Alligator mississippiensis: one gene and its partners. The protein of the gene in region 2 interacts with the protein of the main gene of each other region in a pairwise test. Links are inferred from orthologs where the notes say so. Each region holds a gene or a part of one and is shown on either strand. Other genes may lie near its edges. The genes, in order: NFKBIB, VPS52, PPP1R18 and AAMP.

Region 1 (6,920 bases), on a different chromosome or scaffold from region 2:
GACACTGAATGGGGCAAGAGTTTTAATCACGTGCCCCCCCCCACCCAGCCACCCACCCTCGTTAACATACACAGCACAGGGCAAGATCCAGACAAGAACAGGACAGGCACGCAGACACGGACCACGCAGACGCACGCTGGAGTGGTAGGAACGACACGGGGGGGCCACACCACACACAGAGAAGCTGGACGCACACGGAGAGGAGACACACACGCCCCTTTCCCTGGGGCAGGGCCGAGGCAGGGATCGGCAGCTCCCCGCCTCCAGGGCTGGAGGAGTTGCAAGGGGCGGGTGGGCAAAACCTCCCACAGCTGACGGAGCAGAGACAGAACCCGGTCCTCCCCCTGGGCACCACTGTGTCCACACTGGGATAGGGGACCAGTCCAGCCCAGTATTGGGAATGGTCTCTCTGGTCTGAGAGCAGCATTTCCCTGCCCCCATGTCTGCACAGCTCGGGGCTGAGAGGTGGAAGGGGCAGTTCGGGGAGGGATCCCCGACTTGTGCCACCGCTGGAAGGAGATGGGGTTACTAGAGCCCAAAGGTCACGGGCACGAGAGCCCAAGAGTCTGGGATCCTAAAGCGGGGGGGCGGCAATCGGCACCGCTCTACAGACCTCAGGTCTTTGGCAGCCGAGATCTAGAGCTGGTAGCCGCCGCGGCAGGGGCTCCTCTACACTAGGGCAGGCAGGTGCTGGCGAGGTAGGGGCCAAGCCTGCCCTGCCCGCGGCACAACAAACTGGTCTCAGGCCGGCAGGAGATGAAGGGGCCCCAGAGCGGGCAGGGGACGCGTTGGGGGTCCGGGGGGCCACTGGCAATAGCAGAGGCCGGGCCGGGCAACGAGGCTGTCCCAAATCCACCCGCAGAGGAGAGGAGAGGGGGGCAGGGGAGACCACCCCCCATCAGTTCTTATAATATCCACTGTTGATGATGATGTCGTCATATTCATCCTGGAGGGAAAGGGGAGAGACGGAAGGAATTAGGGCGGAGCAAACGACTGAGACCTCCCCAACTCGTCTCATTAACGGCTGGGGGGGGGGGGGATCTAACCACTAGGAGCTTCCCACCCAGCCCCCCCGGGGGCAGGAGGGTCCCCACAGCCGCCCCACTCACGTCGCTGGCGTCGTCGGGACTCTCCGGCTCCGAGTCCCAGTCGGGCTCCTGGGAGCCGAAGTCCCGCAGCAGCTGCGGGATCCTGCGGTCGGGCCGGTGCAGGGCGCTGTACAGGGGCGTGTAGCCCACGTACATGCGGGCGCCGGGGTCCGCGCCGGCGCGCAGGAGGCACTCCACCACCTCGGGGCACTGCGCTTCCACCGCCAGGTGCAGGGGGCTGCGCCCACAGCTCGGCTCCTGCCGGCACAGGCCAGGGAGGGGGGGAGGGGGTGGTAACGCCCAGGGGCAGATCTGGAGGTGGTGGGGGGGCACCCCCCGTCGACCCATCTACCCAATCTGTAAACCCAACTGCGTGGCAGGGGCAGCCGCGTTTCTACCCAGGCAGCCTGGACTCGACTGACTTCACCGCTCCCTCGTTCCTGCTAATCCCTTTGCTCCGCAGGCGTTAACGACCCTCTCTCCTCGCTAACGATCTCGACATTGACTGTTCCAACCATCCCGTCCTGCCCTGCCGGGTCCCCCTCCCGGACGCCGCAGACTCCCCATCCCCGGAGGGGCTCCCAAGTCACGGCTCGGGCGCGATCTAGCGCAGCGATGCCTCGCGGGACTAACGAGATGCCTTCTTGTGACCGGATTTTTCTAAGCTTTCTACCAACAAGCGAGGTGGACTTAACCCAGCCCCCCTCTGGGAGTAAAGCCGCTTTTCTCCTCGCGTTACGTCGGCTGCGATCTGCCTACAGCAGTGCCGCCCCCCTGCCGGCACTCACCGCCTTATCGAGGTCGGCGCCGGCGCCCAGAAGCAGCTTCACCATCTCCACGTCCTTCTGCAGCACGGCCACGTGCAGGGGCGTGAAACCTGCGTGCGGAGCGAGGCGCGGGATGGACGCCGGCCTCGGCCGCCCCCCCCCACGACAGCTCCCCGGGGGCAGGGGGGTGGGTGGGTGGGTCGGGGAGGGGGTGTGCCCCCCGCGGCGTGCGCGCGTACCGTCGTAGTTGGCGCAGTCCAGGTAGAGGCGGGCGCCGGGCGGGGCGAGGAGGTGTCGGGCGCAGTCGCGCCGGCCCTCGCGGCAGGCCAGGTGCAGGGCGGTGCGGCCGCCCTTCTCCCGCAGGCCCAGCCCCGCGCCCGCCCCCGTCAGCTTGCGCACGAAGCCGGCGGCGCCCAGGATGGCGGCGATGTGCAGCGCGGTCTGGGGGAGACGCGGGGGTGGGGTGAGGTGAGGTGAGGTGAGGTGAGGTGGGGGGCGGGGCCGGGGGCGGGGCCGGGGGCGGGGCCTCACCTGGCCCAGGTCGTTCTGCAGGTCGAGGTAGGCGGTGCCGCGCGCGAAGTGCAGGATGGAGTCGAGGAAGGGCTCGTGCTCGTGGATGACGGCCAGGTGCAGGGCGCTGCGGGGAGGCGCAGGTGGGCGGGGCGGGGTGGGGTGGGGGAGGGGAGGCAGCCCCCCGCCCCCCGCCCCGCCCCGCCCCCACACCTACGTGTCGCCGTCCTCCGTGAGGAAGCCCAGCACGTGGCGCAGCCAGGCCTCGGGGGCCACGGGCGGCGGGTCGCGGAGCCGCACCGACCCCACGCCCTGCGCCAGCGCCCCCACGGCCGCCGCCTCCTTCTCCTCCTCCTCCTCCTCGTCCCCCAGCGCCGAGTCCAGCCGATCCCGATCCCGCTCCCGCTCCCCGCCGCCCTCGGGGCCCGGCGCGCCCGGGAGCGACAGCGGCCCCTCGCCTAGCGAGCCCAGCCCGCTGTCGCACCACTCCTCCGGGCCCGCCTTCGTCTCGCTCTCGGCCTCCACGCCCCGCTCCGCCTCGGCCTCGGCCTGGCCCGACATGGCGGCAGGGGCGCCGCAGCCCCGGGCCCGCTGCACCGACGGGAGAGGGGGGCGGGGCAGCTCCCGGGGAATCCCCGCCGCCCACCAATGCGCGCCCGGCTTGTTGCGGGGTGGGCGGCGCGCGGGGCAGGCCGGGAGGACGGGTCCTGGCGCGGGGCAGGATGGGAGATGGAGTCTAGGTCCTAGCGTAGGGCGTGATGGGGGGATGGAGCGAGAGGCATCATGGGAAGTGGAGTCTGGCTCCTGGCGCGGGGCATGATGGGGGGTGGAGGGAGGAATGGAGCGTGGGGCATGATGGGAAGTGGAGTCTGGATCCTGGCGCGGGGCATGATGGGGGATGGAGTGCGGGGCTCTCCGCCCAGGGCGTGAGGGGGGAGAGGGGACTGGAGCGTGGGGCATGGTGGGAAGTGGAGTCTGGATCCTGGCGCGGGGCATGATGGGGGATGGAGTGCGGGGCTCTCCGCCCAGGGCGTGAGGGGGGAGAGGGAACTGGAGCGTGGGGCATGATGGGAAGTGGAGTCTGGATCCTGGCGCGGGGCATGATGGGGGATGGAGTGCGGGGCTCTCCGCCCAGGGCGTGAGGGGGGAGAGGGGACTGGAGCGTGGGGCATGGTGGGAAGTGGAGTCTGGATCCTGGCGCGGGGCATGATGGGGGATGGAGTGCGGGGCTCTCCGCTCAGGGCGTGAGGGGGCAGAGGGAACTGGAGCGTGGGGCATGATGGGAAGTGGAGTCTGGATCCTGGCGCGGGGCATGATGGGGGATGGAGTGCGGGGCTCTCCGCCCAGGGTGTGAGGGGGGAGAGGGGACTGGAGCGTGGGGCATGGTGGGAAGTGGAGTCTGGATCCTGGCGCGGGGCATGATGGGGGATGGAGTGCGGGGCTCTCCGCCCAGGGCGTGAGGGGGGAGAGGGGACTGGAGCGTGGGGCATGATGGGAAGTGGAGTCTGGATCCTGGCGCGGGGCATGGTGGTGGACGCGGGGCGTGAGGGGGGAGGGGGGAATGGAGCGTGGGGCATGATGGGAAGTGGAGTCTGGATCCTGGCTGGAGTACGGCTCTCACCGCGGGGCATGATGGGAGCTCTGGCTGTGTCTCCTCCCGTCATCCCCCGTGGATGGCTCCGCTTCCGGTGACATAACGCGGGCCCCGGAAGTGCGGGGCCCAGGAGCGGGGCCCATGGCCGAGCAGGAGGGTGAGGCCCCGCCCCCGGGTCCCCCTGCCCCCTCCCTGGGGTCCCCCCCTCCGTGACTGACCCCCCCCCTCTGCCCGCAGCTCCGGGGGCCGCAGACGCGGGGCCAGGCCCGGGCTCCGACTCCCCGGTGAGTCCGGCGGGGCCCAGCTGACCCCTCCAGCCCCAGCTTGCCCGGCTGCAGCCCGAGCCCGCTGCCCCTCGCCCCTCGCCGCTGGTTCGGCGACCTGCGACGTCGCCTTTGTCTCAGCGGGGCGGGGGGCGGGGGGCTGCGCTCTAAACCCGCGGTAACGGCGCGCTCCGCTCCACTCCGCTCGTCTCTTCAGGACTCGGACTCCGACTCGGACAGCGGCGCCGGCGCCTCCGGAGAGTCCGAGAGTGAGTGCTCGCACCCCGGGGTGGGGGGGGGGCGGCTGGGAGGAATTTCGTGGCTCCTGCATGACCCCCCCCAGCAAGCCCCGACCGGCAGTGCGGTCTGTGAAATGGGTCCGTGCGCGGCGGTGACGGCTGCCCTTCCCCTCCGCAGTGGAGTTCCTGCGGACCCTGCTGTCGCGCACGCTGGGCCTGGGCGGCGAGGGGCCGGAGAAGGTGCTGGAGGAGCTGACGCTGGAGGGCGTGAGCCGGTTCATGCTGAGCGACCAGTGTAAGCCCCCGCCGGGCTGGGACGGGACCCGGGCAGGCGGACGCTGAACGCCTGGGACCCTCCCCTCCCCCTCCGGGTGTTGGGCCCCCGGGGGGGGCGCTTACCCTCGACCCCAAGGCAGCACGGAGGACCCTGCTGCGGGCGAGGGGGGGGATGGCGCTTGTACCCGGGGCGGAAGTCACCCCCCCGCCCCACCCCCGTTTATCTCGCAGGCAAGAACGTCGTGTGCATGGTGGGAGCCGGGATCTCCACCTGTAAGTACCCCGGCTGGACTAACCCCCCGCGCTCCTGGGGTCAGGGGTCAAGCCCCCCCACGCTCGCTGCCACTCGCTGCAGCCGCTTCTGGGGTGCAGCGCAGCAGCTGTGCGTACGGGGCTCACTCCCTTCACTCCCCCCCGCTGCCCCCCTTTGGAGCGTACCCCCGTTGGGCGGGCAGCGACCGGATCTTCTCGCCTACGACGCATGCTTCCCCCCCCGCCCCCCACCCCAAACCAGCTGCTGGAAACGGGCACGAATGTGACGCGTGGGAAATACGGTAGCACGGTAAGAGCTGCTTCTGCCGGAAAAAGCCGGGCGGGCACTTTGTTCCGGGGCACGTTACACATGAGGAAACGTGAGGCAGGCAAACGCGGCTGAGTCTGGGGTGGAGCGCGGCAGCTGCGGGTAACACCGGTGGGGCCAAAGAGAAGATCCTTATGGGACCCCAGCCCACTTCTTCCCCCCCCCCTGCATCTCGACCCCCACCTCCAGCCAAGGCGCAGGCCCCTGAGCTGCCTCCCCCCGGTGTCTCCCAGCTGCGGGGATCCCGGATTTCCGGTCGCCGGGCACGGGGCTCTACGCCAACTTGGCGAGCTACAACCTGCCGTACCCCGAAGCCATCTTCGACATCCGCTTCTTCAAGGTATGGGCCCGGGACCCTCTTCCCTGCGCCCCTTCGGCCAGGCACTGTGCTCCCCTGCCTCCGCTCCCCTCCCCTCCCCGCGCACATCTGGGGTATGCCCCCGAGGCCGTACCCACAACAGACACCCCCCGGCCCCCTTTCTCCCAGGTCAGGATCGGTCACCCGCAGGGCTGGGGGACCGATAATGAAGCTGGGCAATCTCGAGGTGGCTCTGATTGGGGGGGGGGGGGCTTTCCCCCTAATCAGGGCTCAGAGTGTAGCCCGCTCTCCCCCCACGGGGGTAGTAGTGATGTGGGGGAAGCTGTTTAAAGCTACGCGCCCCCAGAGACTTGGCCGTTTGCTTTTTTCCACGCAGAAAAACCCCGAGCCGTTCTTCGCCCTGGCTAAGGAGCTGTACCCGGGGCAGTTCAAGGTAAACCCACCCTGCCCCAGCCCCGAGGCGCCTGGGAGCCAGGATGCCTGGGTTCCCTGCGCAGGGAAGGGGCTGGGGGTGAGAGCAGAGCCAGGACGCCTGGGTTGTGCCCCTGCTTCTGCAAAGCGGAGGACCTGGGCCCCGGACCCCTGGGTTCAGTGTGGCGAGTTGTGCCCCATTTTGGAAAACCGCCCAGGTCCCATCGGGCCCAACCCCCACACAGCCTGGCGTCTGCCCCCTGCAAGCTCAGCTGCCCCATGGGGCTGGGGGGTCTCCAGCCTGTCACCCTGCCCTGGGCTGGCCAGCAGCCCCGACTCCTCTGGGATCGTTCTGATGCCGGAGCTTGCTTGCGTTAGAGCCGTGACCTTGCAGTGCCAGCCTGCCCGCACCAGCCCCCACCCGCAGCAGCAGGGAAGACCCTGCCAGTGCTATCAGCTGCGTCTCACCCATTCCCCCCACCCCCCAATGGGCCTGGGTCGAATATGTGCCTCCTTGCTGGGCAGCACTGGGTGGGCAGGTGGTCCTCACCCCTCCCAGCCGGTGCCCAGAGCCTCCTGGGGTACAAGGGCTGGACTTAAGGGAGTGGGTGCATGGTTAAATTGCCCTTTCTCCCCTATGGGGGGGGGACACGGAAGTGACTGTCCCCGCTCTTCCCCAGCCCACCGTGTGCCACTACTTCATGCGCCTGCTGAAGGAGAAGGGGCTGCTGCTGCGGTGCTACACCCAGGTGAGCGAAAACCCCTGGGGTGGGGGGCATGATCAGTGGCAGGGGTGGGCAGTTTCACCCCAGCTGTGCCCAGTCATTCCCACTCCCCCAGCCCTGTAAGCTGGCCTGGGCACAGGGCTCATGG
Region 2 (6,924 bases):
ATAGAAGGTGGGACGAGCTGCCAGGGAAGTCATGTTTCCTTCCTTGGGGGTTGCAAGAGGAGGCCTCAAGGGTGTCTGGCTGGAACAGCTTAGGAACTGCCCAGCCTGCATCTGTGCAGGGCTTGGAGAAGACAACCTGTGAGACCCGTCCCAGCCCCAGGACACCCCCAAAGTGTGCCCCACAGGCAGCCCCAGCAGAGGTGCAGCCATTTCTTGACTGGCACCCACAGACTGGAGGCCAGACAGGATGGGGCGGTGCATCCACATGGCTTAAGGTAACTGGGTTCCCCCAACAGGGACTCGAGAAGCAGGAGCAGCAGGTACCTGCTGAGGGCACTGGTGCTGGGTCAGGTCAGGTGGGAACCACTCCAGGCACTCGCTACACTCAGGAGTCGACATATTTTTGGTCCCAAATCTGTTGCAGTCCAGGGCTCCTGGGGTCCCTCCATTACCATGGTTGGTCTGAACTAAAGCAGAGCACAGACTAGGGGGCCCAGGCACCAGGCCCTGCTGGGACCTCAGCTGAGTCACTTTGCTCCCCACTCACCCTTGTGCCTGTTTCCCCAGAACAGACCTGATGACAGCTCCTGGCTGTAGAGGACTCTTGGTGCAAGGCCTGGGGCTGCCACCACGCACCAGACAGGACTATCCAACTCCTGACTCTGAGCAGGAGCTTGGAGAGGTTTGTTGGGGACAGTGTCCTGCAGAAACCCTAGTTCTGGTGCAGATCCCACTGATCCAGCTGCTGTCAACTCCTACAGCCTTTGGATGAGCCTTGAAAGGCCAGAGAGCATAGAAGTATTTGGGGCTAGAGCCCCTGGGAACCAGGTTAGAAGGGGGCCTTGAGCCCATCCCCAACACACAAGCCATTGTTTCAGAAAGGTATAGTAGGGCCGCGTTTTGCAGCATCTGGGCACCTAACTGAAGCAGAGATGCTCACTTCATCACTACTATGAAAGGACTAGAATGGACCAGAAGATCAAATGCAGAGTGATTTCAATACAAAAGACGGAACAGAGGAAGAGGGGGCAGGGGGCAACATTGAGAGGGGCACACAAAATAAGTGATAAACCCATGGGGGCTGCAGGGATCCGTAAATGAAGGATGAGAATTTGGAGATGGTCCTTCTAGTGGGCAATGCTACGAGCGTAGGGATTCAGAAATGATCTTGGTGTGGGGCGCAGGGCAGCAGTAGAGGCCAGGTTGAAACAGCTCCTGCAACAGGGAGACCGTAGCCCTGCCCCAGTCCCTGCCCACCCTCTACCCTGAGGGACGGGCTGTGACAGGGATTCCCTCAGGGCTGGGACCAGGTGCAGGATCAGGGGAGCCACATTGGTGTCTTCATGCAAGATCCCAGAAGTGTGTCGGTGAAAATGAAAAAATGGGACCCGTCAGTCACATTGTAAAGTGAGACCTTGCCCGCCTCCTAGTCCCGGAAAATACTCACCTGCCTGGGCCATACAGCCACCCCGTATCCATTGACAAGTGTCAGTGTAACCTTCCCCTTCTTGCACACCGAGTCCCTGCACACACCCCTGCCCCACCTCAACCTCACATAAGCACCTCCTGCCCGTGAACCCCTCAGAGCCCAGGAGACAGGGACAAAGATCAACTCTTTGGGTTGTCAGGTAGCTGCTATCATTTGTCTCACACACTTCCCTGCCCAGGATAGAAGAGAACAGCAGCCCCACGTCCTGCTTCTCCCACCAGCCCTGCCCCAGACTCATCCCTCCAGAGAGAGAAGGGAGGCAGGTCTGAGAACAGCACTTTATTACATACACAGGGAACAGGTTACTTCTTCTTTGAGACACCCACAGTGCGGCCGCGGCGGCCTGTCGTCTTTGTGTGCTGGCCTCGCACACGTAGCCTGCAGTGGAAGGAAAGAGATAACGGTCAGAGCTGAGATATCACCCGCTCTGCCCTCCACCCTGCCTCTGTGGGCAGCGCCACGCCCCATCCCCCAGCCCCACTTACCCCCAGAAGTGACGCAGACCACGATGCGCCCGGATCTTCTTCAGCCGCTCCAGGTCCTCACGCAGCTTGTTGTCAAGCCCGTTGGCCAGCACCTGTGGCAAAGAGGCAGCAGGTCAGAGATGCAGCCTAGCTGGGGCTGAGGTCAGCCAGCCCAGGCCCCACCATGTGGGAGAAGCTGAACTACACACATGTGGGCTGCTGGCAGGGGAGCACCAAGGACAGGCCCCACAGCTCCCAGAACCACAACCACGTGGGAGCTCACCTGTGTCTGGGATACCTCAGACCCTTGGTGCTCTCCCCTTGTTGGAGAGTCCTGAACCTTGCCCCCCTCCCACCCCATTTTGCGGTGCTGGGTAGGTCGCTACATCCCTCCGCACAGATCCTTAGGGCCCAGAAGCAGTTCAGTATGAATCTCAGCCGTTAGCACGCAAAAGAAGGCAGCTGTTAAGCGACAGTTTCGAGAGCAGAGATGTGGAGACCAGGGTCACACCCTGTGCGGATAAGGCGACCCCAGGAAAGAACGAGTGGCAGGCCATAACTCAGTTTCCCTGCTCCTTCAGTCAAAAGCTCAATCTCCGACAGCAATGAGCAAGACCACAGACCTGAACCGTATCCAACTCCCCCATGCCAAGCCACAGGAGTGAGAGTCTGGAACTTGCCCCCAGCCGTTAGGAGGGGATCGTGGAAGCCCGAGACCTTATCTCCCCCTGCAGCAAGTGTCTACATGTTGTCTGACACGTGTAACTGCTCTTAGCCACATTGATAACATCCCTATCAAACAACTGTTAATCAGAGGAGCTAGCTATGGCTTCTGTTGTTCTTCTCCAGATAAAATAAAAGCCCCACGAGCCATCCTGAGTGTAACGGTCCCTTCCCCTGCCAGGCTCAGCCCCCGGTCACGAGCCCTGGGGGATGGCAGGCCTGGAAGGAGCCCCGCCACTCACCTGGCTGTATTTGCCATCCTTGATGTCCTTCTGCCTGTTGAGGAACCAGTCGGGGATCTTGTACTGCCGGGGGTTCTGCATGATAGTGATAACGCGCTCCACCTGCAAGCGGGGAAAGGGGGTTTCTGTAAGCTAAGGTCAGCCGGGGCTCCCCACCCCCCACAGCAGACCTCCCCAGCACCACTCCCTGCAGCCAAACCCCACAGCACCCTGCACCGCACCCTCACCCCGGCCTCCTCACCTCATCCTCCGTCAGCTCCCCGGCCCTCTTGGTCAGGTCAATGTCTGCTTTCCTGAGCACCACATGGGCATAGCGCCGGCCCACGCCCTGCAGGCGAGTGGAGAGCGTAAATACAGGCCTCAGCTCTGGAGAGGGGGTCTGCCCCAGCCCTGCCAGGATCCTGCAGGACGAGCCCCTACCCCAGGGACGGACCCGCAGCCCCCCCGCCGGGTGACCCGCACCTTGATGGCGGTGATGGCGAAGGCGATCTTGCGCCGCCCGTCGATGTTGGTGTTGAGCACGCGGAGAATGTGCTGGAACTTCTCGGGGATCACGAGCGACTGCGCGGGGCAGGAGCAGGTCAAGGGCGATCTTGCGGCCTTCTGCCCCCCGGCTCTCCACCACCCCGGCCCCCTGCGCCCTCCCCGGGGGCCCCGCCGAAAAATGGGACGCGGGGCGCGAAGCCCCAGCCCCGTCCCCCCCAAGGGCCGCCCCGCAGCCGCAGTGCCCCGCGCCCCAGCACGGATGGGCCCCGATGCGCCGCGCGCCCCCGCCCGGCCGTACCATGGTGCCCGCTCCGCTCCGCTCCAGCCCCGTCCGGAAAAGAAAGGGGAAGTGACGCAGTGCCCGGTATTCACCCCCCCAAGGGGCTCCGCGGCTTCCGGTCGGGGCTGTTCCCCTTCCGGCTGGGTGTGAATATCCGGAAGTGACTTCCTGCGGGGGTAGCAGTAAAAGGCATCCGGGTGGGAAACCTGACCCCACAGGGATCCGGAGGCTGTAAACCGTCGTTAGGGCTCCTTTCCCCCGGGTGCCGGATTCCGGCCGCCGGCCGCACTCCAGCTCGGAAAGGGCTTGAATAGTGCACTTCCGGTCAGCTCCCCGGTGCTGTCTGGGAGATGTAGTTCGGTGGAGAACCAGGCCGGAAGTGCTCCCGTGGCCGGCGCGGGGCGGGGCGGAGCAGCGATGGCGGCGCTGCGGCCAGCGGAGGAGCTGGGGCTGCGGGCGGGCGACACGGAGGAGGAGGAGGGCACGGTGAGGCCTCGGGCTGCCTGCCCCTCGCCCTGCGCCCCAGCCCCGGCCCAGGCTGAGCTGTACCCCCCCTTCCCCCCTGTGCAGCCCCCGGGGCGCGGAGAGGAGCAGCCGCTGAACCTGGGGGACCTGGACCTCACCTCGGACGAGTTCATCCTGGACGAAGTGGACAGTGCGTGGGGGCGCGGGGGGGCGCTGGGAGCGAGGGGGGTGGGGTGGGGCCAGCGCTGACTCCCGCTCCTCACCCCCAGTTCACATCCAAGCCAACCTTGAGGACGCCCTGGTGCAGGAGGCGCTGAAGACGGTAAGCTGCCACCTCCTCCCTTGCTGTTCCCTGGTTGCGGCCAGCCCCCCCGGCCTGTGTGACCCCCTCCCCTGCGCAGGGCGTGGACCTCCGGCAGTACTCCAAGCAGGTGGAGCTGGAACTGCAGCAGAATGAGCATGCCTCCATCCGGGACTGTATCCTTGGAGGAGGCGCACAGATGCCCTCAACCACCCTCTGCTGAGCCTAGCGTGAAGCGGGGAGGGGGGAGGATTCAGTTACCCCCGCCCGGGGGAGTTTGGGATGGGGTCTTCTGTGCCCCTGCCCAATCCCCAGCACTGCAGACAGGGGGCTCCACCTGGAGGGAGGGGTGTGCTCCGCTATGTCTCTGGTACCCCGCCCCCCTCCCTGTATCTTGGGGCTGGCTTTCCAGTCCCCCCCCCAACTTCCTTGTTGGTTTCCTGAACGACCCTGGTCATCCCACAGACATCAAAGAGAGCAAGAACATTGCCTCCCTGCACAACCAGATCACTGCCTGTGACACCATCTTGGAGGTGAGACACACCCCCCCCCACATACACATACAGCCCTCCATCCAGCAGACCCCCTTCAGTTCCCATCACTCTCTGCAACCCCACCCGGAAAGGGGCCTACTGCACCCACTCCTGACAGCTTCATAGGCACTGGCAGCACTGCTTCTACAGGGGTGAAACACCCCCTTTCTCTTTTTCCTCTCACAAATTGAACATTAGAGGGGGTGGCTGCAGGGGTGGGATGGGCAGGGAAGTGAGAACAGCTTACCTTCCCTTTGCTCCTGGTTGTTTTGTGCTGGGGTTGGAGACTGGCAGGACATCCGGGGTGTGTGTGTGTGTCTGCTGCGGGGAGATGGTTTCTGCCCCAGTGTGGATGGGTGGGTCACAAGGGTCTGGCCTCTCTGACACTTGCTCTTCCGACGCCCTGGCCCAGCGCATGGAGCAAATGCTGAGCACCTTCCAGTGCGACCTGAGTAGCATCAGCTCGGAGATCCAGACATTGCAGGAGCAGTCAGTGGCCATGAACCTGCGCCTCAAGAACCGCCAGGCTGTGCGCAGCCAGCTCAGCCAGCTGGTCGATGAGCTTGTTGTGCCCGCCAACATGATCAGGTGTGGGGGCCTGGGGCAATCCAGGGGCTGGGGGAGGGAAGTGTCTTCTGGGCTGCCCTTTCATGACTCTATCCCACCTCCAGTACCATCCTGGAGGCGCCGGTAACGGAGCAGGAGTTCCTAGAGCAGCTGCACGAGCTCAACAACAAGATTAACTACGTGAAGGAGCAGGCCTTCCGTGAGACAATGGCCTGTGCCGATGTGCAGCACGTGTTGGAGAAGCTCAAGGTCAAGGTGAGGGTCCATCCGCCCTCTCCCATGTGACCTAGGCTTAAAGGCCAGGGGGAACCATTCCCTGAAGGTCATGGGTCAGGGGTCTTCCCCATCCTTTTCTTGTTCATTTTTGCCTGGAGGAGATGTGGACTTTCCTCTCCTCCCTGCTTATGCAGGGGGCTCCAGCAGCCTCATGGTGCCCAATGACTCCCATGACATCTCTCTGCTTCCCTGAGCAGGCAGTGACCAAGATCCGGGAGTTCATCCTGCAGAAGATCTACTCCTTCCGCAAGCCCATGACCAACTACCAGATTCCCCAGAATGCTCTGCTCAAGTACAGGTGAGCTGGGGGTAGGGGGACCTTCCAGCATCCTCCTCAGCTTGGGGCAGCAGCTGGGCAGGCTCCTGGAGACTCACAGACACCACCCCTCGCCTCATGTCCTCCAGGTTCTTCTACCAGTTCTTGCTAGGGAACGAGCGGGCGGTGGCACAGGAGTTGCGGGAGCAGTACGTGGAGACCATGAGCAAGATCTATCTGTCCTACTTCAAGTCCTACACCAGCCGCCTCATGAAGATCCAGGTTGGGACACGATGCTGCTGGGGAGTGCAGGGCCCCCAGCCCAAGCAGGAACATGGCTGGGGGGTATGGTGGGAACTCAGTGGGATGACTGGGCCAGACTCCCCCATATTACAAGCAAGGGGCAACGGTGCAGCCCTGTGGTGGTGAACCTCCCTGGCTGCCTGTCTGTCCTGTGGGATGCGGGATGGGGCTGGGGTCCTGGTGCTGACTGTTCATCTGTGCTGCAGTATGAAGAGGTGGCTGACAAAGATGACCTGATGGGCGTGGAGGACACGGCGAAAAAGGATATCCTGCTGCCCCAGGGCACGGGGCAGGAGGCAGGGAGGTGTCGGGTGGGGGGAGGAGCAGCATCTCCCTGGTGTTCCCCTTGACTCGTGAGTCCCACGCTTCTTCTCCAAGCCATCGCTGAAGAATCGCAACACCATCTTCACACTGGGCAATCGGGGCAGTGTCATCGGGGCGGCCGAGCTGGAGGGGCCCATCATCGTGCCACACACGGCCCAGAAGAGTGATGTCCGTGTGAGCAGGGGTGGGGGAGGGCAGGGGTCACCACCAGGGGG
Region 3 (7,947 bases), about 11 Mb from region 2:
GCTCCCGGGCTGGTCGGGCCCCCACACGCCTCATGGCCTCCCCGTCGCCTGGCTCCTCAGCGCTGGCTGGCGGGGGCGTCTGCTCACAACTCAGGGAGGAAGCAGAGCTGAGAACAGCCACGGGCTTTGGGGGAGGAGAAGGAGAAGTGCCGGTTTCCTGCCTGGGTTCGGCGGCGTCGGAGGAGGGGGGAGGGGAGCTGCTGGCCCGCCGCGGCACCACCATGAAGGAGTTGCGTGACTGCAGGCGCAAGCTGGCCAGGGCCTTGGCCTGTGTGTCGGCATCAGGCTCCAGCATGGCTGCTGGGCCTGGCTCCAACGCCTCACCTGTGCTCATCACATCCAGCAAGGTGGCCTTCAAGTCCCAGCCTCCCCTCTCTGGAGAGGCAGCCTCCTTGCCCTGTGGGCTTGGCATGACTGTGTTTGGGCCACTGCCATCGTGCCTCGCGCCCCACTCTGGGGAGAGGGCCTCCTTGTCCTTTAGGCCTGGCCCCGCAGCCACTGAGCCACCACCTCTGGGCTGGGCCCCGCTTTCTGGCAAGGCGGCCTCGGTGCTTTGGGGACCGGGCGCTGCTGCCAGCCGATCACCGCTGCTAGGCCTAGCTCTCCTCTCTGGAGAGGTGGCCTCCCTGCCTCGTGAGCCTGGTGGTACCGTGCCCGCCGCACGACTGTCACTGCCAAGCCGGGGCCCCCTCTCTGGCGAGGCTGCCTCTTGGTTCCAAGACTTGCCAAGCGAGAAGCGCCGTGGAGGGCTCTCCAGCCAGGCCTCGCCACTAGACCTGGCTTCAAACTGATTGCGGAAGGAGGCCACCGTGAAGAGGGGCGCTTGGGGTGGTGCGGAGGCGCCAAGCCCTGGCAGGTCGCAGGATGGGCTGGAAGACCTGCCATGCTGCCGGGCCAGGCCAGGATCCAGCTTCCTGGTCTCCAAGGGGTGCTCATAGGAGCCATCAGCAAGGTTCTCAGTGCTGAGGGACCTGACCGGGCGCTGGGGCGGCCCCACACCGCCACCGCCACCGTCCTGGCTGAAGTGGCTCAGCAGCTTGCTGACCCGCCCACGACGCTGCTCTGGCCGCGCCGACTGGTAGCCCACATCCCCGTGCCCCTGGCCACAGGAGTTGAGGTCCTCCGCACTGCGGCTCACGGTTGACTTGACGATGAAGACCTCACCCGCCCGGATCTCCGTCACGCTCCCGCCCGGCCGCACCAGCAGCTCATTCAGGGACTCCACGCTGCCAGATTTCACCTCCGCTGGCCACCGATGCCGCTCAGCCCCTGTGCCCAGTGGAGCCCCTTCGACGTCGGGCACCGACTCAATGATGATGACGTTGTCGGCCCTCAGGGTGCGGATGCCAGGGATCTGACTGTAGGCGTCCGCCAGCTGCTTGGCCTTGGCGCTGGCTGGGTCGCTGTCCGGTGCCGCTGTTTCCTTGCGGCGCTTCTCCAGCTGGATGAAGGGGTTCTGGTGCACGGGGCCAATCTTCTCCTGCAGAACGGCGCTCTCCTCACTGCTGGGCTCCTCCCCAGGGCTTGGGGCTCCCACCCCAGCCAAGGGGGGCCCAGCTCCTCCACTGCTGCCACCGCCGCCCTCGCTGCTGCCTCCAGGCTCAGAGAAGGAAGTGCTGGAGCCCTGCTTGGCACGGCGGCGCTCGATGATCTCCCGCTTCCATGCAGGCATCTTGGCCATGCGGTCCTGCTGCTCCCGCTCCCGGCGCCGCGCCTCCTCCTCTTCCTTCCGCTTCCGCTCCAAGAGCATCAGCTTCCAATCGGGCAAGGACGAGGGAGCCGACATCGTGGCCCTGGGGTGGGGGGGCAGGCAAGGAAGGGAAAGTTTAAAGGGCAGAAAGGAGGACAAAGGATTGTAAGAGAGAAGAATGGGAAGGAGGAGGGATAGAGAGAGCCAGGGAAGGAGGCCTGATTTAAGAAGAAAGAGTGTCAGGAGGAAAGAGGGATGGTGGAAGGAATGGAGGCTGGGAGAGAGCGGGAAGGGAAGGAAAGAGAGTCAATGATGGAGGAAGCGGTGGGGAAGGAGGGCTTGCGAAAGGAGGGACTGAGAGGCCAGGAAGAAAGGACAGAGGAGGGTGAGGAAGAGAGCGGGCATGGAAGCCGGGCGAGGGAGAGGGTGAAAGAGGGACAGGGTGATGGGGAGGTCGAGGGGGAGGCGGCGCCGGGATCACACGGGCTTCCGGCAGAGAGAGAAAGGAGATGAACCAAATTCTCCCCCCTCGCAGCCGGCTCCGCCTGACAGCCCCTCCCTGCCCGCTGCCGGCGGGGCCTCCTGACAGCCCGGCACGCGGCGGCCGAGCGTCCCCGGGGCCCGGCCGGGAGGCCACGCGCTCCGGAGCCCGACCCAGCCTGCAGCCCGGCGGGGGCAGGGGCAGGGGCAGGGGCCGGGGCAGGGGCCGGGCGCGGCGCGGGGGACCCCGTCGGGCTTTCCTGGGGTGGGTGGGGGCTCCTTTCAACCCACCGGAGGGGAAGGGGTGCGGGAGGGGGCAGCATAATTACCCCGGCGAGCGGCGGGACCCAGGCGTCCGGGCTGGGAGGCTTCAAGCGCTCCGTGGCTCGCAGGACCCGGGCGTCGGAGTGATGGGCAGGGAGGGAAGGAGGCTCCTTTTGTCCCGGGCGGGGCTCGGGGGTTCCGGACCGCGGGGCAGACGGAACCAGGCGCCCGCCCCGCGCCGGGCAGGCAGGCAGGGAAGGAGGGAGGCGGGGAGGGGGTTCCCGGTCGCGGGAGTTTCGCGGAACCGGCGTGGGGGTGGGGGCAGCCCCGGGGACCCAGGCGTCCGGGGGCGGGCGCCGCGCGGCTGGGCGGGCCCCGATCCGGGGGGCCCCGATCCGCCGGGGCGGGCGCTGCCGCCGCCGCCGCCGCCTCCGCCGGGTCTTTGTGTGTGAAGGCGCGGGGAGACAATGCGGGGCGGGGCGGGCGGGCGGGGGGCGCCGCGGGATTCCTGCACAGCGCCCACGGGCAGCGGCCGCGGCGGGCAGAGGCCGGCACGGATTGACTGCGCTCGACAGAGCCGGGCCCCAGCGCCCGCACCCGGGCAGGCAGGGATCTGCGGGGGGAGGCGGTGTCCTCCACACCCCCCGGCCTCCCCTCCACACCCCGCTCGTCCCCCTACGCGCGCGCGCACACACACACACACACACACACAGCCCCCCTACTTGTGCACCCCCAGCATCTCACACACCCCTCCAGCATCCCCTTACACACACACACCCTCGCGTCCTACACCCCCCACCCTCCTCCTATGCACATGCACACACACATACACACACCCCAGCATCCCCCTACACGCGCGCGCACACTTTCCTGTAGGGTTGGCAAGCTGGTCAACTGACCACATATTTTTTTGCCCAAAGATTATAGTGATTTTAGGAATATATATTTGTATGTTTCTTGATGGAAACAAGATTTTTTTTTACTGTTTTCTGACACACTTTATAATGGAAAATTTGTGGTTTTTCTGCATCGTATTTGGACCTGTTGACATTTCTGGGGGGTGTTTTTTGTTTTGTTTTCTTTTTTACAATAGTTGATGGATATTTGACAGGTCAATTAAACAAGCTGTATTTGACAGGTCAAATACCTAACTTTGCTTTGCTCCTTGTTCACGTGGTTCCCCAGCCAGACACGCGTGTCACACAGGCTCCTTACAGCCCCCACTCCCGCCCCTGGCTCTCCATCCAGGATGTGAGCTATGCACGGCCTGACCCACTGAGAGGGGAAGCCAAAGCCTAGGGCAGGCCTCAGCCCCCCTGTTCCCAGCAATGTCAGCTGAGGCCTGCTCTGCTTAGCTCTGACCACCAAGGGGTGGCCCCTGCCACATCTCCAGCCCTGCCTTTGTGGGAGCATTGCTATACACACAGACTCCAGCGGCCAAGCTGAGGGAACAGACACAGCATCACCTTCACACTGGCACCAGTGGGGAGACATGGGGTGTTGCTCTGGGAGAGTTCATGTAACAACACTCCCCCCCACCCCCCAAGAGAATAAGTGCTGATGGATATCCCAGGTGAAGGCTGGTACCAGCTTGTTCCACGGTACAATCATTTCTGAACTCTTCATGTGGGTAGCCTCAACACCTTGGGAAGTGCTTCACTCAGCTCTGTCCCACAGTACAGACACCTCCCATCCTAACACCCCCAGTTTCAGCTCTCTTCTTACCATCCCCTGGAGCATTAGCTCCAAAAGAGAAAGGAAAGAGGGTGATACTACACCCACAGTCAGTGCGGGTCCCTGGTACAATGTTCCTAGACTGCTATGCGGCGAACACTTGTCTTCCCTAGGGTAGCCCCTGCTGCTGTGTTGGCACAGTTCCTTAGTGAAAAAGTGTATGCCAACAGGACTTTTTCACGGCTGTAGAACAGGGTGGCACCAACCAGGCCTTGGTGCAGACACAGCTCCACCAGCAAAGACATGTTTTCTGCTGCGCACCGTGAGCTGGTGAGTCAGCATCTCCGGCAGAGCTGCTGGTGGCACAGCTCTGCCCATCAGGGGTCACATCCTGGACTGACTCAGCCTTGCCAAAGAAAGGTTGCAATGGGGACAGAGTGGCAGGTGGGGAAGTAGAGGACGGGGCAGGGGGGAAGTCACACAAAAACACTGATGGGGGAAGGAGGGAGACTGATCTGGGAGTAGGGAAAAGGGGTCCCAGGGATACAGGTGGGTATGGAGAGGGAACATTAGGGTAGCATGGGCAAGCTGCCCCATGACCCCGTGTGTGTAATGCCTTTGGCTGACCAGAACAGGGTGCAGTACCCAGTGCCTGGCATCTCTGTGGCAGCAATGCCCTCTAGTGGGAAGAACAGCAACAGCTCATGTGCTTGTAAAGATGTGCTGACAGGCAGGAGCTAAATTTCCCTCCTTCCTTAGTGCCAAGATGATGCTTTGGGAATAGGAGGACCCGAACTTTCTGCCCCAAGCTCCCTACCACGTCTAACAGCCCAGATGAAAAGCATGCAATCAAGAGATGGATACCCCAGACACTTTCATTCCAGGTATATTGCAGAGAGTGAGACAGAGCACTGCGATACGGCTTGCTGGCTGCATACCCAAGTGTTGCCCTAAGCCAGGCACCACCACCCTCCCTGAGCTGCGGAGAGAACCCAGGAGTCCTGCCCCATGCTGTGCTACCCGTCTCACAGAAACATGTTTGTAAATGCAATAATTCTCTTTAGTTATTTATTTGTTTGTTTGTTTTAAACTAGCCTTTTCCCAGATCACTCAAAAACCCAAGATACAAAAATACTTTATCAGCTTCAGGTTCAAAACAAAACAAAACAAAAGAACCAAAAAAACCCCCACATGCACAAAAAGGCAGCGTTAAAAATAGAGGTTCTTCATTAAGGCATCGATTAAGGTTGGGGTTGCTTTCCTGAGTCAGAAATAGGACCCAGGTATCCTGAATCCCAGCTCAGCCTCTGCTCTACCCACAGGACCCCCTTCCTGAGTGCTGGTGATGGAACTCAGGGGTCCTGATGCTCAGCCCCTCTGCTCTAACCCATCGGACACCATTCCTCTCCAAGACGGGGCCCAGGGATTCTGGTGGACCCAAAATGTCCCAATCCCCATAATGAATTAAGCATTAAGCTAGAACACTTGCATTAAGCTAGGAGACCTGAACATCAGCAGGCTTTGGATTTTGTGGCACAGTTCCTAGCTAACTTTTAATAGGAGCCTGGCACTCACTGCAGGGAAGAGGCCCTATGTCCTGATCCCCATGTCTTGACTCCCCTGCTCTCCCCACACCTTCAATGCATCCACTGGCCACTGAAGTGTGGGAGGTCAGAGCCAAGGCCCCAGAAAGGGATGGACTTCCCTTCCTATTAATCATCCCTCCTTTCCAGCTCATCTTCATATCACTCGAGCCATTTTTTTGCCTTGTACCTAAATACAGAAGAAACAGTACCCTACTTTCATTTTTAGAAACCATTTTTCAAGACTTTTGCAGCAGAGATTGGCGACACGTCCATCACTATGGGGAAGGCAGTAGGGAAGAGCCCAGGAGTCCTGATTTCAAATGCCTCTGAAACTATTAAACCCAGGGCTCAAAATAGAAGGCAGGAATCCTGACTCTGGACCTCCCCACTGTAACCCAGACTTTACTCCCCTCTCAGAGCCAGGAATTGAACTTAAGGACCCTATGAAAGAAGAGTGTTACAATGGGGGAGGGAGGAGAGAGACCAACCTCTACCGAGCTCTGTAAGGCCAACGGTATCTAGAAAGTGGAGCTGGGCAAGTGGGCTGGGAGCCTGGACTCATGGGTTCTACTGCAGCTCTGGGAAGGAAGAGTGTTCCAGTGGGTCACAGCATGGGGAAGGGAGCCTAGACTCCAAGGTTGCTTTTGCAGGCAGCTGTGACTTCTAGGGACTCAGGAGAGATCCTAACACTACAGTACTAAGTGCAGAGCTAAGGGCATCAGTGCTTGGCAAGGTGGGGGGTGGGGAAGGGCACCACTGCGCCAGACCTCCCCCTAGGTAAAAGCCATCCAGCAGGGTCCTGCTCCCACTCAGCTCTCCTTGCTCAAGACAGGGCCGTTGCGGGCCAGCAGGTCCCCATAGGCAGCTTCCTCACGGGAGAAGACCTGGAACTTCTTATCAAGCTGGGCACGGAGGTAGAGGTAGTCCTGTTGGTCCAGGCTGTGCCCGCAGGTCATGTAGGCGGTGAAGAGGGTGGCCAGCAGGAGGCGGTCCAGGGAGAGGCAGGGCACGGCCCACAGGATGAGGAGAAACTCCAGGTACACGGGGTGGCGCAGGTGGGAGTAGAGCCGCACGGCACGCACCGACTTCAAAGCCAGGGGGTCACCCATGCCCAGGCAGTGGTAATAGACCTGCGGCAGGGCACGGCACGGCATGAGGGCAAAGCAGGTTGGAGCCGAGAGAGGAAAGCCCCCAAGACTGCCCCCCGCGAGCCCAGGCAGTGGTAACAGACCTGGGGCAGGGGACCTGCAGCAGGTTGGAGCCAAGAGGGGAAAGACCCCAAGACTCCTTCCTCCCCCTTTCCACCCCCCCAAGCTAATCCCAGTCCCTGAGCCCCTGGATCCTCCTCCCTCCACCCAGTACCTGCTTGACCCCCATGAGCTCGGCGTAGTCGAAGATGAGGATGATGCTGAAGATGATGAGCCAGGCCACGAAGTGCAGGATGAAGCAGGCCAGCAGCACCCAGGTGGCCCAGGGCTCCGAGCGGGAGGCGTCCCACAGCAGCGGCCCGTCCCGCACCGGCTGCCAGCACCGCATCAGCACCTGCGGGCGCCCGCTCTGCTCAGCCCGGCCCGGCCCGGCCCGGCCCGGCCCCGCCGCGCCCCGCCCCGCCCCGCCCGGTACCTGGAGCGCCAGCGCGGTGCAGCACACGTAGCAGGAGCGGTGCAGCACGCCGAGGCAGCGCGCGGCCCAGCGCTTGGCCGGCGCCGAGGCCATGAGCCAGTGCTGCAGCACGAAGAGCGCCACGAGCCCCAGATCGGCCGCCAGCGCCCGCAGCACGCGCGGGTCCCGCAGCGCCGCCGCCCACTCGCGCCCGGCCGTCGGCTCTGCACGGGGCGGCAGCGGGGTGAGCGCGGCCGCCCCGGGGCTCGCTCGCCCCCCCGCCCCGCCCCCAGCCCCGCTCCCCGCCCTACCCGGCCGCGCCCCGCCGGGCAGCACGGCGCGCAGCGACACGAAGCGAACCAGCTCCACGCCGGTGCCGAAGGCGAAGAGGAAGCTGCCCAGGGCCGGGACCACGAGCAGCAGCGCGGGCGCCATGGCGCGGGCACCGGGGCGGGGACTCCCGACTCGCGCCTCCAGCCAGCGCCGCCCTGCTGGGGAGGGGCTTTCCCCGGGGCTCCCCTGTGACGCGACTTCTCCTAGGGCCCGCCCCCAGGTGGGAGGAGCTCCCGCAGTGGGCGGGGCTCTGCGGATGCTCCATTCTCCTGTCTCTCGCTGGGGTCTCGCCAGCTCCGCAGCCCTGCCCCGGGGTCT
Region 4 (7,102 bases), on a different chromosome or scaffold from region 2:
CCCCCCCGGCAAGCGGGGCGAGCTGGGTACAGGCACTCACTTGTTGAGGGCAAAGTCGAGGATCTCGGCACCGTGGCCCCGGTACTCGCTGAGCAGCTTGCCGGAGCGGGCGTCCCAGAGCCGCACGGCGCCGTCCAGGCTGCAGGTGTACACCACGGCCGCGCTCTCCTCCCACAGCAGCTGCACGATGCCCGACTGCCACCCGGCGCCCGCGTCAGCCTGGGCACGGCCGCAGCCCCCGGGGCGCCAGGGCCAGCTGGGGGAGCCCCTGCCAAGGGGTCACTGCCTCGAGGTGCAGCAAGGCCAGCCCCCACCGGGACCCCAGGAAGATGCAGAAAATGACCCCCTCCAGAGACAGGATCCAGGGGGCTTAGGCGCAGAGCGGGGGCAGGGGGCTTAGGCGCAGCCTTCCCCTGTGGGATAGTCAAGGAACCCCCCAGCCAGGGGCACGTGGAAGCAGCAGGCCCAGCCCCCAGGCAGCCCGCCCCATACCTCGTGCTGGCACTTGTGCCGCAGGCTCTGCGTGGAGAGGTCGTAGATGGCCAGCGTCCCGTCCAGGTAGCCCACGGCGGCCAGTGGCATCCTGGGGGGCCGGGGGAAGCTGTTACGGGGGCAGCAGGGGCAGAGACTACCACTGCAGCTGAGGGGGGAAGTCACAGGCAGAGCCCCTGCTCCATGCAGCGGTCAAGGGTAGCCCAGGCAAAGGGCAGAGATCACGTGACTCCTGGCTGCCAACACCCACCACCCCATGGCCAGGACCCCGACCCTGACCCCCGCACTCACACATTGCAGAAGCCCAGCGACTCCACGGAGTTCGACTCGGGCTCCTCGGCCGCCCCGGCTGGGGTCTGCGGGGCGGCGCTCCCCTCCTGGAACACGCACACCACCTGCGGCACACGCCTGTCAGCCGGGGACTCGGTAGCCCAGCGGGGATCCCATGGCAGGGGCACCACGTTGCAAGGGGGCCCTGGGCCATGCCACCCCCAGGAATACGGCCACAACCCCCCCCTCCGAGGGCTCCAGCAAGCGGGGATGAGCTGCCTTGGGCCAAGGGTGCACCCCAGCATGTTGGCCCCGCTGCCAGCAGTGCATGCAGTACACTCCTGGGGCAGCAGTGCATGCAGAAGGCTCCTGGGGCAGCACATCAGCAGAGACCCCCACCCAGGGGTGTCCCCCCAACTCAGTCCCAAGATGACACAGACTCACCTTGCCGGTGGCGGCGTTCACCAGCTTCGCCTGGCAGTCCACAGAGCCCGTCAGGACCAGGCTGCCGTCCTTACTGCTGGCCACACACGTCAGGGGGCCCTGGTGCCCGTCCTGGCCTGGGGAGGACCTGGGGTGAGCCCCCACGGCACCGCCACTCCCAACGGCCCTCAAACCCGACCCCAGCCCCAGGTTGGGACAAGCCCTGCCTACCTTTGAGGACGTGGATCGAGCTGCCCTGCTTCAGGTCCCAGACGCGCACGGTGCCGTCCTCGTAGCCGACCACCGCTGTCTTCCCTGGACGGAGAGAGGGGCTCGCGGCTCTCATCACCCCCAAGACCCACCCCCGCACGCCCGGGGACACCCTCCCCGCCGCACGCCGCAGGGGCCACCCCCAACGAGCACCGCCGATGCCCTGACGCCCTCCCCCGGCCGCGCCGCACTGGGGGCAAGGCAAGGCAGCCCGCACCGTCGGGGAGAACCTTGCCGCAGGTGGCCGGGCAGCTCGGGCCCTGGAAAGTCTTGCAGTCTCCGCCCGGGATCTTCCACATCCAGGAGTTGCCGTCGGCCGTGCCCGCCAGCAGGACGTGGGCCTGGGGGTGCCACTCCATCCACTGGGCAGAGGGAGGAGGACGCATGGAGCCCAGGCACCACGCGGGGCGGGGCGGGGCGGGGCGAGGGGACCGGGCCCTCGGCCTGCACCCCCTCCCCGCTGCCCGGCCCCCCAACTCTCACCTCCAAGTCCCCCACTTCGAAGGACCAGACCTCCTCCTTGGTGTCCACGCGCCACACCTTGATCAGCCCGCTCATGTCCCCCGTGGCCACGAACACCGAGTCGTGGCTGAAGCCGGCGCAGGTGACCGAATCCTTGTGACCTGCGGGGGCGGAGAGGGGGCAGCTGGCGCGGGGGCCGCGGGGGGAGGGGGGGCGGCCCCGTCCACCCCCGCCCGGGGCGGCGCGGCCGCGGGCGCCTCACCCGAGCACTGGAAGAGCAGCTCCCCGTCGCTCAGCCGCCACACGAACGCCTGGTCGTCCTCGCCGCCCGTCACCGCCAGCGTGTTGGTGCGCGGGTCCAGGCTCACGCAGAACACGGAGGCTGGGGGGACACGGCCGCACGTCCGTCAGTGCACGGCGCGGCACGGCGCGGCGCGGGGACGTGCGGGGACGGGGCTCACCCGAGTGCCGGGCGAAGGTGACCTCGCTGTCGTCGGGGGCGGGGGGGCCGCCGTGCCGCGCACCCCCCCCCTCCTCCTCTTCCTCCTCCGTGTCCCAGGCCTCGTCCTCCGGCCCCTCGTCTGCGTCCGCGTCCACGTCCACGTCCTGCATCTCGGCCGCCAGCTCGTCTGCGGGGGGGGGTCCGCGGTCAGAGCCTGCAGCACTGGGGGGCGCCCCCCCGCAAGGTGGGGGAGGGGCGTGACCCCCATGAGGGGCGGGGGAGGGGCAGAGGTGGGGGAGGGTACGCACCCCCCCAACTGAGGGCATGGGGGAGGGGCGTGACCCCGTGGGGGGCGGGGCGTGACCCCGCGGGGGGGAGGTCGTGACCCCGCGGGGGGCGGGGCGTGACCCCGCGGGGGGCGGGGGGAGGAGGGGTCGATCGTGACCCCGCGGGCGCTCACCGGGGCCGGGCGGGCCCAGCTCCACCACCTCGATGATCTCCTCGTCGCCGTGGAAGAGCATTGCGGGGCCGGGGCCGGGGCCGGGGCCGCCGGCGGGCTCCATGCTGCGCTGCGCTGCGCCGCGCCGGGCTGGGCCGCGTTCCCCTCAGCGCCGGAGCAGGGCGCGGTGGGAAGGGGAGGGCGCGGCTCCGCCAATGGCGAGCGAGGAAAGGGCCGCTGCAGCCAATCCGCAGGCGCGTCATCGCCCGGGCCCTGCCCCTCCCGCAACAGGGTAGGTTGTCCTCCGCGCCATACGCGAGGCCGCGGGGCATGCTGGGGAGTGTAGTCCCCGATCCGCCTTCGGCCGCCGCGCGGGGTGTGTCGGGACGGCGCAGGGGCAACATGGCGGCGGCCGGGCTGCGGGGTGAGTGCGGCGCGGGGAGCCCCGGGATAGCGCCCACCCCAACTCCGCATGAAAGCCTTAAGGGTTTGGGGGGTACTGCGCATGCGCACTAATGCGGGCCGCGACTGTCCGCGTTTCTCCTGCGATAGCTTCTCGGGAGAGGCCGGCCCTGCGCCTGCGCACGAGCGCCGCCGGATCGGGGCTCTGCAGGGCCCACCCCCTGCCTCAGTTTCCCCCGCTGCAGCAAGGCGCTGCCCCGCTTTGCCTGGGCCAGGCCCAGGTCAGACCAGGTGGAGGGAGGGGGCTGGGGGTCCCGTCCAGCACAGCCGTGTCCCCCGTGCGTCCTGCCCTCAGCTCCGCTCAGCGTTTATCACACGAGTCGCCCGTCCACAGCATCACGTATGTAACATGTGCCGCCCGGCTCTGGGGCGTTACACGTGTCCGGGCAGTGACGGCCTGGGGCCCGTCTACATTTATTGCGCGATTCACCAGTCAATTTGTGTAACAAATGTAAGGTGCGGCGGGGGCCTTAACTCCCAGCAGGGAGCTGTGGGGTGGCATCCCCGCCCCGACGACTGCCCCACTGCCTCCGGTGTGGCAGCGCTGTAATGCGGGTTCAACATTACGTGTGCCCGTGACCCTGCTCCCCCCTTGTGCAGGCTTCTTCTCCGCGGCGGCGCGCCGCACCGGTGTCCGCACACCACAGCCCTGCCGCTCACAGGCTTCAGCAGAGATGCAGACCAGGCCGGACCCCGCGGGGCCGCCACCCATCGAGTACATCCCCACGCGCAAGGCCAAGAACCCCATGCGCGCCGTGGGGGTGGCCTGGTGAGTGCCCGCCGCCCCGGGGTCTCCAGCTGCACGGGTCAGCCCTAGCACACGACACGCAGACTGGGGCTGCGGGTGAGGAGCGAGGGGCACCGCAGGCACTAACCACCGCCTCGGTCCCCCCAGGGCCATCGGCTTCCCCTTGGGCATCCTCCTCTTCCTCTTCACCAAGCACAAGGTCGACCACAACCGTGTCGAGCAGCTCCAGAGCCTCCAGAACATGAAGAGGGCCAACGTGGGGCCCGAGGCGGAGCAGCAGTACCGGGGGGTGCTGCACAGGGCGGGGCGCACCTAGCCGGGTCCCACGGGGCCTGAATAAACCTGAAGCAGCACGAACCCTGCCTGTGTGTGTGCACTGAGCGGGGTGCAGTGTGGGGGGCCGCGCAGGGTCCGTCCGGAGAGGTCTGTGCCCCCAGCCCAGGGGCCTGATGCCCACCCCGTCCCCGCGAGGGCAGTCACAGGCACAGGCGGCGGGTGTCAGACGGGCACTTTATTGGCAGCATCCAGTCCAGGCTCTTTGGTGTCGGCGAAGCAGGCTCAGCCCCTGCCTGGCGCTGTGGGGGGTCCCGGGCAGGGCTGGCCATGGGGTGCCAGGTGCAGCAAGCAGAGCCCCCCCCACCTTTGCTGGGGACCCCTCTACCCTCCCCCGTACCGTGCCGCCATGTTGGTGCATGCACCGTTAAGGCACGGAGCAGCCCCGGGGCGGGAGGGGGAGAGACACGGGTACAGCCACGTGTCCAGAGCACGTGCATGTGCCCACGTGTCAGCCAGCGTCCCACGTGCGCCCCGCGCAGCACCTCCCATCCCGGGCTGGTGGGGCCGGGACGCACCCAGGCCCTGGGGAGGGGCGGGGGCAATAAGGCAAGGGCCCACCTCCCCCCGTGCGTCAGCATGCCCGGGGGCCGCACGGAGCCGGGCAGCGCGGGCGGGACGCGGGCTCTATCTGCGGCCGACCAGCTGCAGCACGGAGGTGAAGATGTACATGATGTCGGTGTAGATGCGCAGCGCGCCGTACACGTACTCCTCCGCGCCCAGCGCCTGCTTCCGGTCGCCCAGCACCAGCTGCGTGTCGTAGGCCAGGAACTGCCGGGGGGGGAGAGGGGGCAGGCGGTCAGGGCCAGGCCCCCCGACGCCGTGCCCCCTCCTCCAGTGTGGGCACCCCCCGCCGGCCCCCACTCACCAGGGTGAAGACGATGGCGCCCAGGGCCGCGTACAGCATGTGCAGCCAATAGATCTGCGGGGAGGGAAGGGGAGGGGGTCACACTGCTGCCCCCCTCCGCATATTGCTCCCCTCCCAGGCAGGAGGCTGAGTCCGGGCACCAGGTCGGGACACGGGGGGGTGTTCAGCAGACAGCGGAGTGGGGGGGGCTGCTTCCACTCCCACAATGCCTTGCGGGGGGGTTTCACCCCCACCCCGCACTCACGTATTTGAAGGACAGGACGATGGCGGTGACGATGCCCGTTACCGTGATGACGATGCCGAGGACGCAGAACAGCCCCGTGCAGGAGGTGAAATCAACCTGGGGGGTGGTCGTGGGGGGCGGTTATAGGGGGCAGGGGCAACGCTCCTGCCTGGTCCGTACTTGCCATGTGGAGGGTCTAGGTCAAAGGTCAGCCCCAGGCTGAACCGGCTGGGGGGGGCGGTGCCCCCCACCAGGTTGAGGGAGGGGTCCCACCAGCCAGGGGGGCTCCGTGCTCAGGAAGGGGGGCTCTGCCCTGGCTCTCAGGAGTGGGGGTCCCCAGCTGTGTCCCCCACCGCCCGGTCCCCCTCACCTTGGTCTGGAAGCAGAAGACGGTGACCACGATGGCCACGATGGCCGTGATGATCATGGCGATGAATACGGCCTTGGTGCCATACCAGCTGTGGGGGGGGGGTCAGTCTGGGGGGGTCCAGACCAACCCCCACCCCACAGGGGCAAGCTGGGGCTCCCAATTGGCACCTAATGAAGGTGCCAGGAGCCTGGGGGAGGGTATGGGGGGGCCACAGTACCTGGAGATGGTGCCCGTCATGAAGCCCATGGCCAGCGTCTGCAGAGGGGGTGGGGCTGGGTCAGCTGTGGGCCAAGGCCCCCATGGGTGTAAGGGAGCGGGCCCCCCCCTCCCCACAGCCCCCCCAGCCCCCACTCACGAAGACAGCGAGCAGGATGATGTTCCAGGGGTAGCGCCGCCTGCAGAGGGAAGGAAGGAGGCGGGACACGGGTCAGGCCCCGATCCTGGGGGGTCCCGATGCCCTGCCCCCCCCCCGCCCCCAACGGGTACTCACCTGGGCCCCTTGCAGCAGGCCAGCGTCAGGTAGGTGACCAGGAACACGGCGCTGGGGGGAGAGACCGTCACACCCCGCCTGGCCCCCACCGGCAGAGGGGATGGGACCCCCCCCACCCCCGTCCTGCCAGCCCAGAGCTCTGCAGCCCCCGGCACTGGGACCCCGGTCCTGGTGGGGTTCACGGGGGGGGGTTCAGGGGGTACTCACTAGGAGGCGTAGTACACGGCCATGTTCTTGCGCACAAAGTCTCTGACGGGGGAGCTGCGGGGGGGGGGGGCAGTCAGAGCCTGGCAAGGCACCCCATCCTGCCCCCCCCAAAGCCAATGCCCCCCTATCCCCTAGGGCAGCTCTGCCCCCCCCACACTCACACGAAGACGAAGACAGAGATGATGCCCACGGTGACCAAGAGCTGCACCGAGATGATGGTGTAGACCTAGGGGGCAAATGGGGGGCCGTTACCCCCAGCCAGGGCAGGGACAGGGCCAGGGGCTGTGCCCCCCCACCCCAAATCCTGCCCCCCTACCTTACGGATGAAGGCATGCCGGACCTTCTTGTCCTCCCAGTCGGTGGCCATGATGGCGTCGTCCCCTGCGGGGGGAAGCTCCCTCAGTGCCCCTCCCCGGGCCCATGCGACCCCCGGGTGCCCCCCGTGGATGGGAAGGCACTGCCCCCTACAAAGAGGCACCCCCCAGTTCTGCCCCCCCTCACAGGATGCTCTCCTTACCTAAGTTCATGGGCAGCGTGGGCATGGGGGGCACTGGCGCCCCCGCAGACGGGTACCCGTAGCCTGGCTGCCCATAGGGGGCGGGT

What was found.
Region 1: the proteins of VPS52 (region 2) and NFKBIB interact in binary tests that used the Homo sapiens proteins (3 or more experiments, as listed by UniProt). The two-hybrid records come from large-scale screens. The link is inferred for Alligator mississippiensis from reciprocal best matches to the Homo sapiens genes VPS52 and NFKBIB.
Region 3: the proteins of VPS52 (region 2) and PPP1R18 interact in binary tests that used the Homo sapiens proteins (3 or more experiments, as listed by UniProt). The two-hybrid records come from large-scale screens. The link is inferred for Alligator mississippiensis from reciprocal best matches to the Homo sapiens genes VPS52 and PPP1R18.
Region 4: the proteins of VPS52 (region 2) and AAMP interact in a two-hybrid assay, tested with the Homo sapiens proteins (2 studies listed by BioGRID and IntAct). The link is inferred for Alligator mississippiensis from reciprocal best matches to the Homo sapiens genes VPS52 and AAMP.

What each region holds. Positions count from the first base shown.
Region 1 is NC_081838.1:1,160,554-1,167,473, reverse strand, and holds NFKBIB (NF-kappa-B inhibitor beta), read right to left. Parts: upstream 3,017-6,920; 5' UTR 2,927-3,016; coding exon 2,583-2,926; intron 2,493-2,582; coding exon 2,387-2,492; intron 2,297-2,386; coding exon 2,095-2,296; intron 1,966-2,094; coding exon 1,877-1,965; intron 1,347-1,876; coding exon 1,110-1,346; intron 947-1,109; coding exon 899-946; 3' UTR 6-898; downstream 1-5. Other genes in the region: SIRT2 (NAD-dependent protein deacetylase sirtuin-2), read left to right, coding at 4,101-4,116, 4,197-4,243, 4,440-4,491, 4,640-4,756, 4,969-5,010, 5,551-5,657, 6,013-6,069, 6,728-6,796. UniProt on the Homo sapiens protein: Inhibits NF-kappa-B by complexing with and trapping it in the cytoplasm.
Region 2 is NC_081834.1:64,784,532-64,791,455, reverse strand, and holds the start of VPS52 (vacuolar protein sorting-associated protein 52 homolog), read left to right. Parts: upstream 1-3,917; 5' UTR 3,918-4,101; coding exon 4,102-4,170; intron 4,171-4,254; coding exon 4,255-4,339; intron 4,340-4,418; coding exon 4,419-4,471; intron 4,472-4,550; coding exon 4,551-4,626; intron 4,627-4,915; coding exon 4,916-4,983; intron 4,984-5,395; coding exon 5,396-5,571; intron 5,572-5,654; coding exon 5,655-5,805; intron 5,806-6,023; coding exon 6,024-6,124; intron 6,125-6,231; coding exon 6,232-6,364; intron 6,365-6,591; coding exon 6,592-6,649; intron 6,650-6,749; coding exon 6,750-6,883; intron 6,884-6,924. Other genes in the region: RPS18 (small ribosomal subunit protein uS13), read right to left, coding at 1,792-1,867, 1,975-2,066, 2,919-3,020, 3,160-3,246, 3,381-3,479, 3,703-3,705. UniProt on the Homo sapiens protein: Acts as a component of the GARP complex that is involved in retrograde transport from early and late endosomes to the trans-Golgi network (TGN).
Region 3 is NC_081834.1:53,469,585-53,477,531, reverse strand, and holds the start of PPP1R18 (phostensin), read right to left. Parts: upstream 3,007-7,947; 5' UTR 2,500-3,006; intron 1,794-2,499; 5' UTR 1,787-1,793; coding exon 1-1,786. Other genes in the region: NRM (nurim), read right to left, coding at 6,504-6,824, 7,057-7,236, 7,318-7,520, 7,608-7,731.
Region 4 is NC_081827.1:253,654,811-253,661,912, forward strand, and holds the start of AAMP (angio-associated migratory cell protein), read right to left. Parts: upstream 3,012-7,102; 5' UTR 2,923-3,011; coding exon 2,820-2,922; intron 2,547-2,819; coding exon 2,379-2,546; intron 2,300-2,378; coding exon 2,180-2,299; intron 2,079-2,179; coding exon 1,939-2,078; intron 1,818-1,938; coding exon 1,673-1,817; intron 1,501-1,672; coding exon 1,417-1,500; intron 1,323-1,416; coding exon 1,207-1,322; intron 888-1,206; coding exon 784-887; intron 584-783; coding exon 493-583; intron 257-492; coding exon of another isoform or gene 215-256; exon of another isoform or gene 196-214; coding exon 41-195; intron 1-40. Other genes in the region: probable hydrolase PNKD, read left to right, coding at 3,129-3,222, 3,861-4,029, 4,156-4,324; TMBIM1 (protein lifeguard 3), read right to left, coding at 4,969-5,112, 5,210-5,263, 5,454-5,549, 5,803-5,890, 6,020-6,057, 6,158-6,197, 6,293-6,343, 6,500-6,553 and 3 more. UniProt on the Homo sapiens protein: Plays a role in angiogenesis and cell migration. In smooth muscle cell migration, may act through the RhoA pathway.